Linked DNA regions of Notamacropus eugenii. The protein of the gene in region 1 purifies or fractionates together with the protein of each later gene. This does not show direct contact. Links are inferred from orthologs where the notes say so. Each region holds a gene or a part of one and is shown on either strand. Other genes may lie near its edges.

Region 1 (7,403 bases):
TTTTCTGTTTGCAGACAATTGTGCACTCAATGCAACCTCTCAAGCTGAGATGCAACAAAGTATGGATCAACTCTCTGCTGCCTGTGCTAATTTCGGCCTAATAACTAACCCAAGAAAACACAGGTGCTCCATTAGCCACCACCACACTATCCATACGTGGAACCATCAGTTACAACAAAATGGAGAAGTTTTGAATGCTATGGATAAGTTCATTTACCTTGGTAGTATATTTTCCAGGGATGTACACATTGACAATGAGGTTGATGCATGCATTGCCAGAGCTAGCTCAGTGTTTGGGAGGCTCCGAAGAAAAGTTTGGGAGAGCAGAGGTATTAGACTGACTACCAAACTGAAGGTCTACAGAGCCATTGTGCTGACCTCATTGTTGTATGCCTGTGAAACATGGACAGTCTACCACTGCTATGCCAGGAAATTGAATCACTTCCATTTGAACTGTCTTAAGAAGATTCTGAGGATCACCTGCCAGGATAAGGTACCAGAAACAAGTCCTTGCTTGAGCTGAACTGCCAAGTATTCAAACTATGCTTCAGAAAACGCAACTCCAACGGACTGGTCAAGTTGTTTGAATGCAAAATGTGCACTTGCCAAAAAGAGTATTTTATGGAGAACTTTCATGAGGCAGGCAATCACATGGTGGTCAGAAGAAGCAATACAGGGACACTCTCAAGGTCTCTCTCAAGAACTTTGGATTTGACTGTGCAACATGGGAGGCACTGATGCAGGACCGCTCAGCATGGCATGCCCACATCAGAAAGGATGCTCTGCTCTGTGAGCAAAGCAGAATTGAGACAGCACAAAGTAAATGTAGGATGCACAAATTTGGGATATCCACCCCAAATATTCACACAGATTATCTGTGCCCAACCTGTGGTAGAGCATACTGAGCTTGTAGTGGTCTGATCAGCCACAGTTAGACACACTGAAATTTCACTTTATCATGGCTATGTCATTCTGGTCCTCTTTGAAGACAAAGGACAACAACCAACTTCAACTTTTCATTTCACAGTGTTTATGCTGTTTTCTTTGTTACCTTGGTGACATGTAAATCTCCATTCTCAAATTAGTTTACTGTGAGCCATCCAAGTAGTTTGAGCTGTGGTCTAACTTATATAATTCTGATTATGAATATATGAAAAATCTCATAGATTTTGTTTATAGGTAAATGATCCATGGAAAAAGTAGGATGGCCCATCCTCCATGAATCAAAAGACAGAATTGAGTGAACCTGACTCCATCTTGTAACTCAGTCCTAGAGTTAGCTCAGTTTCCTTTCTATTCAATTATGGGTCTAGTCCAATTTCTACCTTGTGAGGAAACTTCATTCAGTTATGGAAATTGTGAGAAAACATTATTGTATTCTTTGGACCTAGCCCTATATGGCTGGAAAGTTGGATTACCCTTACCAGTTGCTTAGAGACCCTTGACTAAGGACCTAGGCTATGCTGACTAGAAACCCAGTCAGATCCAAAGAATGATGTAAGGAGTTTCTCACAACTGCACATCTTAAACAGCCCATATATTTTATCTGAAAACTGTTCCTTTCATTGAATAAGATACTCAGGGGAGGGGAAGTGGGATGCCTCTTTTTATGATTTGAGAGAATTGCACCTGATCATTCATCTCCATCCCAACTCAGAAAGCCCCTAATCTTTCCTATAGTTAGAAATTAGATTACCCAATTTTGTAACCTGTTTTATATACTGTTAATTATTTTTATTGCATAAAAATCTATCTCCCCTGTCTTTGGGGTCAGTGCCAAACTGAGGAGGCCTGGTCCCAATCTGTTATGCAATTGGCATGCATTGCTTAATAATTTAATCCTTCTAATTATGCTTGATACTTAAAAAGTTAATAATAAATAAAATCAGAAGCTCAAACCTTTGTTTCCTCAGTTATTTCATCTCCTACATCATGGTGAGACCATGGCAGTACCTACACACCTAAAGCAATCCCTCATGAAAAATGAATCATCCAATTATAGGACAAAATCAGGATTCTCTAGAGGAGCATCCAAAAGGTCATTGCAGGACTTTTCAACCATGTCCACAGCAGAGGAACAATCATGGAAAGGATCCCCTGAAATTGGAATGTCAGGGAATGAAGTGGCCAGATTAAGAACGGAGAACTGCTTTAAAGTCACACTTTCTTTGTTCAGTAAAGTCACTTCATACCTAGCAAGTCTCTGATCTGAAAAGGTTTGTGTTCAAGGTCTCAGCAAAAGAGCCTCTACTCATGGGATACTGCAAATGGAGCTCCTAATACCAAATCACATGTCTTTTCTACTTCAAAGAAAGTGGCAAGACACAGCCTACTATGGCTGGAGTACCAGCTGTGCAGAATAGTATACCATGGGGCAAGGAGAGGGCCTAAGGGATTAAGGATCTCAGAAGCCACCTCTCTATTCATGAACAAAAAGAGAAAAGGGCTTACTTACTCCAGTCCCAAAACTGGAGCTGAAAACAATGCTCTCTTGAGGTCTGCAAGGGCAGTAAGGTGTTCTGGTCCAATCTGAAAGTCTTTGGTTAGAGAGGCTAAGGGTTTACTAATCTCACCAAAGGATGGAATCTACTGACAACAGTAGTCTTGTTTTTTCCAGAATGAGACGGATCTGCTTCTTAGTCTTTGGGGCAGATAGCTGCTGAAGACTTTGTACCTCTTTAGGAGAAACAGAGCAAGAGCCTGAAGACCAAAGGAAACCATAGACCTGTGGGAGGCACCATTGTACCTTTGATCTGGAGGCTTTGTGGCTTCTGGCATGTAGTTGGAGATGATAGTAGCTGTACTCTTGACAGTTTCCACAGTAAGAGATCATTGATTAGTGAACCAGAGTGGACCTATCATAAAGAGAATTGCATTGATTCCTTAAGGGTTTCTATGAGTGTTTTATGAGTTTTCTCTATCTGTTTATGGGCTTCTGAGAGTTTTTTTTTAACCTTCTGTGTTTTCTGTGTGGGTTGGCCTCTATCCTGACAAGAATATGTTCTTTCTAGGACTTTTAAGGGAATTAGAGACCCTGTTACTAGCACTTGTGGAAACCTAGACATTAATTATATAAAAGCTATATTCAGAGATATCTCAGAGGAAGCCCGGCAGTGGTAATAATGAGCTGAAAGGGAAATTGACTTTTTTTTTTTTTTGAGGGAAGCCCCAAAGATTGAACTGTCAGTTAGGGGAGGTCCCTGAACACCTGGCTACAGGTAGGTCACATTTTCCTTCAAAATCCCATCGACTTCATCTAACTTCTCACAATGTTTAAAATACTTTCAGCCACCCCAACTCCTGTGATAAAACGCTCAGCCATTTCGCCGTTATGATGTGCCTCCATCCTAGAAGTACCAGGTTCTCCAGGTATCTCTTCCAGTCCCTTGATTCTCAATCACTTCTTCCCTCTCTCCATCCCTGCCACCCACTCCCTTTGCGTTCTTGGACCAGCCTTTAGCTCCCTTATCTGTAAAACGATGGGTCCCTTCCAGCTCTGAGGCCATGAACCAGTAAAACCCTCTTTCCTCTCAGTCTAAGGAAACACCCCCCCCCCAAACTCCTTAGGCTGCTCCTTCGGCCAGGACACCCTCTCCCTCGCCCCAGGGGATCCCAACTCAGTTCGATAAACACCTACTAAGCACATGCCAGACACTGTGCTCAGGGTACAAAGAGGCAATGCTGACTGCCTAATTCTCCCCATCTCTCCATTCAGTTTGAAGCCCGGAAGGCTTGTTTGGGAGAAAAGACAAATGTTTGGTTAGAAGGTAGGGAAGAGCCGGGGTCACCGGGGCCAATGGTCCTCCATCTCCCTTCCACTTCCCTCCGTAAGTAGGCACGTACGTGATGGTGGGGAGGCAGGAGGGTTGTGCAGCGGGGTACAGCACACGATCAGGGTCCTAGGTGCCTCATCACTTGGCGCTTACTGGACTGATGCCCGGGATGGCCAGGCGCACTCCCCAGGAAGCCCCTCCCTGAGGCGGCCCCTGGGGTGGAGCCCCGAGGGCGGGCAGCGCGCGCATCCTCCCGGCATACACCACTTTGTCTCCATCGAGGTGGACTATAAGCCTCGCTTAGAGCCGGGCATGCCGGGAACTGTAGTCCCCCGCCTTCCCTCCCTCGTGCCAGAAGGAAAAGCCGTAGGGCCCAGCTCCATTTTATGCAAATAAGCTGCAGCCCCGAGGCGGCGAGGGGAAGTGGGAGGTTTGCTGTGGTGTGTCGCCCTAGGAACCCGCGCACTCCGCAGCCCAAGCCGCCGGCTTTAGCGTCTTCATCCGGGTGTCACGTGTGCCGGAGCCCTTTCCCTGCGCGTGCCCCTCCTAGATTCCATCCTCCCCCTCTCTCCCGCCCCCGCCCCCGCCCCACCCCCACCTCGCCACCGGCTCCACGCCTCCCCTAGCGTACAGAGGCGTCACGGAACGTCCCCCTCCTCCTTTCCCCCTCTCCGGCTTTCCCTCCCTCTCTCACCCTTCCCCCAACCCCAGCCCTCCCCCTCCCGCGCCGGAGACTCGCCGCCGCCGCAGCAGGACGAGTAGCCGCCGCCGGAGCAGCGCAGAGCCATGGCCGAAAACGCCGGCTTGGAGAATCACCGCATCAAGAGCTTCAAGAACAAGGGCCGCGATGTGGAAGTGAGTGTCGCGCCGCCGCCGCTGGCCGAGGGGTCCGGGCCTGGCCGCCCGCGGCGGACGCCCAGGCTGGTTCTCGCCGGTTCGCCGTGCGGAGTTGGCCGCCGCCGCCTCCCTCTCCTCCCCGGGCGGCGGGGCGGGGAGGAGCGCGGGGCGGCGGCGAGGGAAGCGGGGCGGGGGTGGGTGGAGTGGTCGAAGCCGCCGCGGCCCCGCTCCCCTCCCCGCCTAGGGAAGGCACCGGCCGGCGGGGAGACGAGGGAAGAGCCGTGGGTTTTTTCTCCTCCGTCACGCGGGCGCGGCCTGGTGGAGGCGAGCGAGGGATGTGCGGCTGCGAGGCGCCGCCGGAGGCCGACCGGCGAGAGCGAGCGGGGGCTGCCGCCGTCTCCTCGCCTGGCCGCAGCCCCGCACGCCCGCCGCCTCCTCGCCTCGCCGGGCGGGCCCGCACGCCCGCCGGGCACAGGAGGGACCGGCTTCTCGCTGCGTAGCGGGAGCGGCTCCACCTGGGGCTCGGGCTCCTCGCGGCCCCTCGGCCCGGGCTCGGCGTGGGGCAAGGCCGGGTCACTGAGTCGCGCCGGGTGGCGGATGAGGGGAGGAGGGAGGGATGCGCCAGGACCATCTTCTCGGCCCCGCTCACCCTGTGATCGTCCCCGAGCTCCCACTCCCCTCTCGCTTGGCACCGGGATCAGGATGCCGGGCAGACAATAATTGGGCATCTATTGTGTTCTTGCTCCGGGAGGAAAGAAAGGGGGGGAGTGTCCTTTCCATTCCTTCCTCCTGGCTTCCTTTACATCCCTTGGAGTATACGATGCATGCGTGATACGATCGATCATTTGTGGAAAGTATTTTTATTGGAATATTGTCGAGGCATCTCCATCCTTCGTCTCTGGCTCCCGCCGTGCCGGTGTCGGGTGATGATTTCTGCGGCCAGATTGTAAACATTATGGTCACTCCGTGTGCTGCCATTGTTTCATTAAGGTGACACGAGCAGGTACTACTTTGTAACTCATCTCATGCTGAGCAGCGCTAGGGGTCTCTATGCAGCTGTTTAAAGCATGTCAGTGGAAGGCACAAACTTCATCAGTACCCACACATATACGGTGTTTGAGCCCCGTCCCGTCCTCATCCGCTTTGGCAGGATATGATTTGGATTTGTAGGTTTGAAATAATATGCTAAAGATAATGTGCATTTTACAAATGAAAATTAATCCAAATTACTCTACGGTGAGGGGAAAAAATCCTTATTGCTTGTTTTATAATGAGTAAACATTGTAGTTCTCAAAAGCACAGTTACACTGACAAAATCTTGAGGCATTTCTGAATATATAATTTTGAAGATAACTGATGACTGTGGAGATCTCATTTTATGAAAGAGAAAACCGAGACTTCTCTGCATGAGTATGTTCTGGCCTTGATTGCATTTCCCTCCACAGACACCTGTCCTGATTCTAAGACTCGTAAAAAAATGAATTTCAGAAAGCTGGAAATTGCTTTCTCCTGGTCACCTCAGTGATTGAGTCTAGTGTCTTAGGTCCAGGGAAGTATCATTGGCAACCAAGTCCTTCCACCTGCTGCAGCCTTATCCTGTGTTAGAAAATGTAAAAAATCGAAATTAACCATGTTCCCCCAGAAGGTATGGTAAATTTATCTTTCCCCCTGGGTCCTTAGGATGCTTGGATAGTTTTGTCTTTATGATTCCTTCCCTCCCCGTTTGTTTTAGTATTCCTGTGACATTCAGTACTTTTATACTATATGCGTATTGCATAATAGATATACATTAAATGTTTGTTGCTCCTGACATCAGTTTCTGTCTTTTAAATATGAGCAATTATATGCTTCCATGGGTGTCTTAAAGGATGAGTAGTGGTAGACATTCTGACCTAAAACAATATTTTAGGAAGAACAGTAATTATCCTTCATTTTACAAATTGGCAAGCTTGGGCATCGAAAAGCCATCCACTGCCAAACCTCTTGCCTTTTGACATGTTACAATGCCCTCTTCCTCTCCCCCACTAGCTGGAACAGTACCTTCCAGGCCAGATCTCCAGAGACCATTCTCTTCTCAGTCAGTCCTACTATTGCTTATGGATTTTGAGAATTGACTGCCCTATGACTTCACAGACCAAAACTCCTTTCCTTGGCTACAACTCTCATATATGTGTTACATTTCTGCATTAGGATAAAAATTTCTTGAGGGCAAGAACCATCTGGCTTTTTTATTTGTATTCCCAAGATCCTATCATAATACATCCTATCATAATACTTGACACTCCAGTATCTAGGTAATTTTTTTCACTCATTTATTTATTTTAGTCAAAGGTTGTAAGATAACCCCTTCTCCACCCCCAGACTCCAAATCACATTAGTCTATGACAAAACTAGGGCTAGAATCTAGGGTTTTTGATTACTTACTAGTGGTCTGTCCTTTAAACCACATCAAATTATATAGTTATCAGTCATATATGATGTACATGGAAAAAAGTAATCTTATGCACAAGGTGCTGGGTACTATGCAAATTGATCTTAACTGCTATAGCTTCTTTTTAGGAGTTTATAATACAGAACAGAGAATAGTTAGGTAGATGTATACAAAGAAAAATCAAACATAATGAAAATTCTGTAAGCAAGAAGATAGAAAGGACCATCAGAAATAAAATACAGTTTCCCATAAGTATACAGTTGTGCTAGGGAATTGAGTACAAGGTGAGCTTTAGAAGAAAAACATTTCATACCTATCCAGTCAGGAATGACTTCATAGAAGAAAGATTCTAATAGGTCTTG
Region 2 (7,089 bases), on another chromosome or scaffold:
TCCTTTCCCTCATTCCTTTCTTTTGGGCCACAGGCTACTGTGGTCAGGATTTCTCTGAGCCACATTCAAATATCTGGAAGAACAACTGGGAGACATTTTGGGAACTGTCAGGAAAAGGATGCTACCATTCAGAAGTATGTTATCTAGCTTCTTTTTCAGTTTACTCTATTATGAATAATAAGCTATAAGATCACAACATGTTGTCTCTAAATCTATGGGTGCAGTATGCAATACGTTGAGAGGGGGGAACCTAGATGGCTCAGTGGATAGAGCACTGGGTCCTGAGTTGAGATAGATCTGAGTTCAAATCTGACCTCAGATACTTCGTAGCTGTATGACCCTGGGCACATCACTTAACTCAGTTTCCTCATCCCAAAAATGAGAAATAAATGATAACCCACTCCAGTATCTTTGCCAAGGAAAACCCCAAATGGGTCATGACTAAACAACAAGAAAAACCCCGGTAGGGATTAGGAGCTAGATATAGGTGTCAGATTTTGGTTTTTCAACATTTGGAGCAACTTTCCATTTCATTCCCTAGATTAATATTGGACCAGCCAATGAGAAGTTAATCCAAACTGCTGAACAAAATCCGAGCCCTGCTATAGCATGAACTTTCCTGGGAAGGGGAGGGGGGTGAAAGGATTGAGCAGCCCAGGTGTTTGAAGGCTGTAGTCCACCTACTGGCCAGGCAGGCTATTGCAGGTTCTTAGGCTGGCTATCCTGCCCAAGAAACTGAGAAAGCTGGGTTGGTGGCTCCAGTAGAGTGCCACCTGTAGATAATGCCACTCTTACATCCTCTTGCTACATAATTAGCACAATGAGACCCTGACTTTCTGTTGCCTTACGTCTACATCAAACCACACAACCCAGGGAGTCTTATGGGTTGTTGTGAGGATCAGATGGAAAGTGCTTTGTTAACCTTAAAGCCAGATGTAAAAATAGTGATTTTAAAATTGGTCCGTTTCACCAGTTATGCTCCTGTTCCCAACTTCCAGTGTGGTTGTAGGGAAAAAACTGCTGAGCCTAAAGTGCCAACTCTACTGCATCTTGCCTCCTGGAGGATCCTGGGTAACTTACTAAGTCTCTCTGAGCCTGTTTTTACATCTGGAAAATAAGGAGGTTGGACAATCAGTGGTTCTCCAAGTGTGATCAGGAGACCTCTGGTGGCCCCCTGAAACTCTTTTAGGGGGTCCTTGAAGTCACAATTATGTTCATTACAATGGTAAGATATTTTAATTTCTAATATGGTAAATATCAGTTAGAAATAACCATATTGTGTTCATCATTTGTTGTGGAAGAAGACCATGCCATCTGAGAAATGATGACAAGACTTGCACTTGACTTTGTTTTGAGTGAGGGAGGCCTGTACAAGGTCACCAGCTTCACCTCTCCAGAGCCCTCTGAATACAGTGACCAGATATTCATCAGGATAACTGGAGATGATCCCAGATGCTCTTTGCAGGTACTCACTTAGGATGAGGCAACACCCATTCATTGAATAGGCCAGTTTAAGAAGTAGCCAAGGCCCCTTTAATGAGGTCAAGAAAAAGAAAGACATCAGCCTGGGAGGGAAACAGCAACAGTTACTATTGATAATCACTCTAAAGCTAGGAGGGTCCAGAAGAGCCTTAAGGCAGGGGCCCATTGGCATCCCACCTTCAGAGTGCAGTAGGTTTGAGGTTTAGGGAAAGGACAGGACAGGACAGGACAGGTAAGGAAACGAAACGAAAGGAAACTAGCCAGTAAAACCCAAGTCAACTGGGCATCTTTTGGCCATCCAAATTTACCTTCCTTTGGAGAGGAGAAGGAAGGGGGGAGGGGGGAGAGGCAGACAGGAGAAGAGGAGCTGAGTTACCCAGCTAGCTGGGTTCCCATTCAGCCAGCTGCATGTACTCACAGAATTGTGTTTGTCCTTCCTTACCGAAGAAGACTATGCCATCAGAGAAATGATGACATGACTTGCAGTTGACTTTGTTTTGAGTGAGTGAGGGCTGTGCAGGTCACTAGCCTCACTTCTCCTCCAGAGCCTTCTGAATCCAGTGACCAGATATTCATCAGGATAAACAAGAGCTCTGTGAGGTCCTAAATAATTTTTTAATATTTTATTTTTCCCCAATTTACATGTGAAAATAATTTTAACACACTTTTTTCTTAATTTCTGAGTTCCAAACTTTCTCTCTCCCTCTCCCCTGCCCCCACATTGAGAAGGCAAGCAATTTGATACATGTTGTACATGTGCAGTCAAAACATGCAAAACATATTTCCATGTCAGTCATGTTGTGAAAGAAAAGAGAAAATACAAGAAAAATAAAGAAATAAGGAAAACGTATGCTTCAATATGGATTCAGATTGTCAGTTTGTTCTCTGGAGATGGATAGCATTTTTCATCCTAAGTCCTTCAGAATTGTATCATTTTATCCCTAAGAAGAAGTAAGTCATTCATAGTTGATCATCACACAATGTTGCTGTTACTGTATAAAATATTATCCTGACTCTGCTCATTTCACTTTGCCTCAGTTCGTGAACGTCTTTCCAGGTTTTTCTGGGAGCATCCTGCTCATCATTTCCTGTAGCACAACAGGATTCACAGCTTGTTCACCCAGTCCCCAATTGATGAGCATCCCCTTAATTTGCAATTCCTTGCTAGGTCCTCAACAATTAAGAATGTAAAGGGATCTTGAGACAAAAAAGTTTGAGAATCACGGAACTGGATGATCTTTAAGGACCTTTCTAGCTACAAATATTATGAATCCTGACTACCATTTAGTCAGAAAACAAGCATTCACTAGCAATATGATTGACGAGAGGCAAGTTGCTCTCTCAGTTTCGCTTTCCTCCACTATAAAATTATGCAAATTATATTTATACAACCTACCTCATAGAGTTTGGAGAAAATTATTTTGTAAGTTTCAAAATTGCTGTATGAATTAAGTTTATTAAATTTCTAATAATGAAGTATGGTATAATGGTTAAAAAAACACTGACTTGGGAATCAAAAGAATTCAGGTCCAATTGTGGCTCTGTCTCTAGCGTGCTTGGTGACCTTGGCACTGACTTGGAAGAGCAGAAACCTTTGGTTTCGTTTTTGGTTCAACAAATCAACTCAGTGAATGTGCCATTGTAGGGAGAAGGAACTTCCTGCTAGCCAAGATAATGCTCTGCTGGTAACACTAAATCCTGTGGAGTGGTGGCTCTTGACAAATCTGAACTTAGAAACATCAATCCACTTCCCTACGAGCAAGAATGATGAGAGCCAGCAAGGTGCTCCCACCCATTACTAATTAGTAATGTCCTCAGCTCCCTTGATGTTACTCTAAGATGTGGAGCTGCAGTCATGCTCTCCTTAAGTTACGACTTCCGTTGTGCCCGGTCCCAGGGAGTGGTTTAGAACAGAGCTCTCTCTTCACCAGTGTCCTAGCATGCATGTCCTGGGTAGCTTACCTATTCACTGATGCACAATAATCTAAAACCACTTTACCCAGGCCTAGACAGGAATAGAAAGCACAGTGGATAGAGCACCGTGCCTGGAGTCAGGGAGACCTAAGCTCAAATCCAGCCCTGGTCCCTTCCTAGTACGTCATTTAACCTCTGCCTGCCTCAGTTTCCTTCTCTGTAGAATGGGGGTGATAACAATAGCACTTACCTCTCAGGATTGTTGTGAAGATAAAAGGAGATATTTGCCAAGGCTTTGCCAACCTCAAAATGCCATATAAATCCTAGAAATTATTTTTATCGTTATTTACTAAGTACCTACTACGTGCCAGGTGCTGTACTAAGGTGTTGGGCACGTACAGAAAAGCCAAAACACAGTCCTTACTGTCCAAGAGCTCCCAGGCTAACCCGGGAGACCACGTGCAAGTAACTGAGTACAAACAAGATGCAGACAGGATAAACGGGAGGTAATTAACGGAGGGAAGGCACTGCTAGCACTGAAGAAGACGGGGGAAGAGCTTCTTGTAGGAAGCCAGAAGGAGGTGGAGACGGTGGAGAGGATCCCGGCATGGGGACAGACAGCCAATAAAAACGCATGAAGTCAGGAGATGGAGAGCCACAGAAAAGGGGCCGGCGTCACTGGATCGTCGCGGGTGGAGGGGAAAGGAGAAAGAGTAAGGTGTAACAAGAACGAAGGAAGGCTTTGAGATGCCGGCGCATTTTACATTGGATCTTGGACCGAATGACAGGAGAGTGGACAGTCCGCCAGACCGGAGCTGAGCCAGCGGACCCTAAAAGCGCGGAGAAGCTGAGGGTGGGCTTCAGGGTGGGGGCAGGGTCGAAGGGGAGGAGGGGCTGGGCCACGGAGAGGTTACGTTACCGAGGTGGAAATCCCAGGACTCCGCATGGGATTGCCTGGGGGAGGGGAGAGGGGGGAGGGGGGAGGGGAGAGCGAGGAGGACGCCTAGGTTTGGGGCTGGAGGACGGCGAGGATGGGGGCGTCCGGAAGAGAGAGAAGCGTGAGAGGAAAAGGTAACGACCCCGCTCTGGATCTGCGGAACTTGGGAGGTCCGCGGGGCGGCCAGCCTGAGAGGCCTACGGGGCGGCCGGAGCGGAGGACGGCGGCAGAGGCCCTGGAGAAAGCACAGCGAGCAGGGAAGAGGGCCCGGGCCCAAAGCTGGCTCCGGGGCCGGAAGAGCCCCCGTCGGGAGCGGACGGGCGGGGCTGCCTCGAAGCCCGCCCCCTAGGAGCTCGCCCGGACTCGAGGACGGGAGGAGTGCAGGGGCGCACACCTGCGCAGACGCCACAACTGCAGCCCTGTCGGAAAGGGCTCCGCCGGGGGCGGGGGGGGGAGGGCGGCTGGGGACGACCCCACCCCTTCCGGCGCCTCAACCGGCCTGACGCTCGCCATTGGTCGAAAGGACCGGAGGAGGCGGAGCCGCCGGGGAATTCGAATGCCGAAAGGAACCAGCTCTGTGGAAGAGGAGTTGGGTTGGGGGCGGCCGGCGAAGCAGAAGCCCGAGAGATGGCGGTGGCAGCTGCGGCTGCAGGTAGGGGCGCTCGGGGCAGCTGCGGGCCGAGGATGGCCCACGCTGCCTCAGCAGGGGCTCGCTTCTCTGGGTTATCCCTTGGAGGTTTCCCGGGCGCGCGGGGTGGGGGATGGGGAGAAGGGAGGTGGGGTCGGTCCCGCGGTGCAGGCGCAGGCGCAGAAGACGCCGTGCGCGTTCCTTCCGGCGCCCCCGGATCCTTTCTCTGCCCTCCTTCCCCCAGGGTGGGGAGAGAGAAGTGTGGAATGGGTTGTTAATGCCTCCCTTCGCGGGTCTGAGACTTGAAGGAGGGAGCCCCGTATCTCCCCAAAGGGAAGCGGGGTTCAGGAGTTGGGAATCCCGGACTAGACCAGAGCTAGAAATGAGAGTGGAGTTGAAGACTAATGGAAGCTCTGACGTGGGACAGATGGGGAGGAAGAGGACTCAGTGACAAACCAGACACCTGTAAGTCAGGAGAGGCCGGTGACAGCCCCTGCTCTCACAGAGCTCACTTTTAATAGGGGAGACTGTTGAGGTCTGAGGGGCGCTGGGGGACCCCGAAATACAGACACCGGGTCCTGCTCGAATGAATTCGACACTAGCCTTCTTAAGGCCCCCAAAAACAAAGTTTATTAAAGATTCGCCATTTTGGGTTGACTGTTAAGGAGCCTTTATAAGCATTTATAACGTTTGTATTCACTAGCGGGCCAGATAGAATCTCAGCTAGACAGAGTCTGAGCGCCTTCATGGAGGCAAGATGGAACTTAAATACAGAAAAAGACTGAGGGAAGCATCCAGGTGTGGCCAGGTAGTCTGGGGTCCCAGGGATGGTCTTGAAAGATCAAACCCAGGGAGGATTCTGATTGGAGTGGCTGGTAATAGGATCAAAGAGAGAAATATGGAAAGAATGCTAAATAGAAGATTATCTATTTATTATCTGTTATCTGCCTAAGAGAGTATCTGACCTGAGAGAAATGGAAGGGGAATCCAAGGAGCTCCCTGTCCCCCAAGGCCAGACTGCCCAGGGCCCTTCAGACAAATGTGACAAAGCTCTTCCCATCCAAAGGGAAAAGGTCTTGGTTTGAGCTTGTTCCCCATCAAGACCACATGAAAACAACTATGTACAAACAAAGGTATATGCAGGATAAGTTGAAGATATTCAATACAGGGAGTACTAACAATCATTGAATGAAAACCAGATAATTTATATTGTCTCTATGCACAAAGCAAAATAGCCCATTTTTAAGTTTTAAGTTTAAGCGTTTTAAGTTGTCATAGATATGACACTTTAGAGGATTACTCTTAGGATCACAGGATGATAAAGTAAGCTGGAAAGGGCCTTAGAAGGCATGTGAAACAACCCTCTTCATTTTAGAGATGAGGATTTGAGACTCAGAGACATTTAAATGAGTTGCCAGGCACAGATAGAGTGACAGCTGGGATTCTTTGTTCCTCTTACAAACTCCTGATTGGTAAGGTACTGTCTCCTAGCTTGACTCCCTACCATAGACATGCAGACCTTTTCATTAGGGACCAGTGCTTTCCTTAAACATTCCATTTCTTCTGATCACTCTCTGATGGTTTCTGCTGATCACCTGTAACATTTATGGGCCATATCCTACAAGTTAGCATTTAATTATATTCTCTCAGGTTCTATTTATTCTTTTGTCAGTAGACAAGCATTTATTAAGTGCTTACTATATGTCAGGCTTACATATGCTTATTGACTCTAAAAACTAGACTTGTACCTTTAGAGAGACCTGTAGTATAATGAAAAGGACACTGAACTAATTAGATGTCAGGAGGCTGAGCTTACAGTCCAGGCTCTTAATCTCTAAGGTTTCCCGTATCTCTTCAAAACAAAACAGAAAAAACCTGACATTGACAATGTCCAGAAGAAAATATGTGTCATCCTGCATCCTGAGTCCTTCATTTCTATCAAAAGGCAAGTAGCATGTTTCATAGTGAGTTCTGGAATGATGATTAGTCATTATGGTGATCACATTTCTTAAGTCTTTCAAAAGTGTCTGTCTTCCTTATATAAATTTACTTGCTTGTATAGATTTCACTCAGCATCAGAGTCCAGGTTTCTCTGAAACCACCCCTTTCATCATTTCTTAAAGCACAA

What was found. The genes of interacting proteins can lie anywhere in the genome.
Region 2: the proteins of KPNA3 (region 1) and KIF22 purify together in Homo sapiens (affinity purification with mass spectrometry; 3 studies listed by BioGRID and IntAct, counting the BioPlex papers as one, with this or other methods). This does not show direct contact. The link is inferred for Notamacropus eugenii from reciprocal best matches to the Homo sapiens genes KPNA3 and KIF22.

The regions. Positions count from the first base shown.
Region 1 is NC_092876.1:106,567,257-106,574,659, forward strand, and holds the start of KPNA3 (importin subunit alpha-4), read left to right. Parts: upstream 1-4,380; 5' UTR 4,381-4,559; coding exon 4,560-4,628; intron 4,629-7,403. UniProt on the Homo sapiens protein: Functions in nuclear protein import as an adapter protein for nuclear receptor KPNB1. Binds specifically and directly to substrates containing either a simple or bipartite NLS motif.
Region 2 is NC_092872.1:47,025,107-47,032,195, reverse strand, and holds the start of KIF22 (kinesin-like protein KIF22), read left to right. Parts: upstream 1-4,070; 5' UTR 4,071-4,177; coding exon 4,178-4,249; intron 4,250-4,856; coding exon 4,857-4,985; intron 4,986-5,161; exon of another isoform or gene 5,162-5,365; coding exon of another isoform or gene 5,366-5,426; intron 5,427-5,914; exon of another isoform or gene 5,915-6,068; coding exon of another isoform or gene 6,069-6,094; intron 6,095-6,800; coding exon 6,801-6,906; intron 6,907-7,089. UniProt on the Homo sapiens protein: Kinesin family member that is involved in spindle formation and the movements of chromosomes during mitosis and meiosis. Binds to microtubules and to DNA. Plays a role in congression of laterally attached chromosomes in NDC80-depleted cells.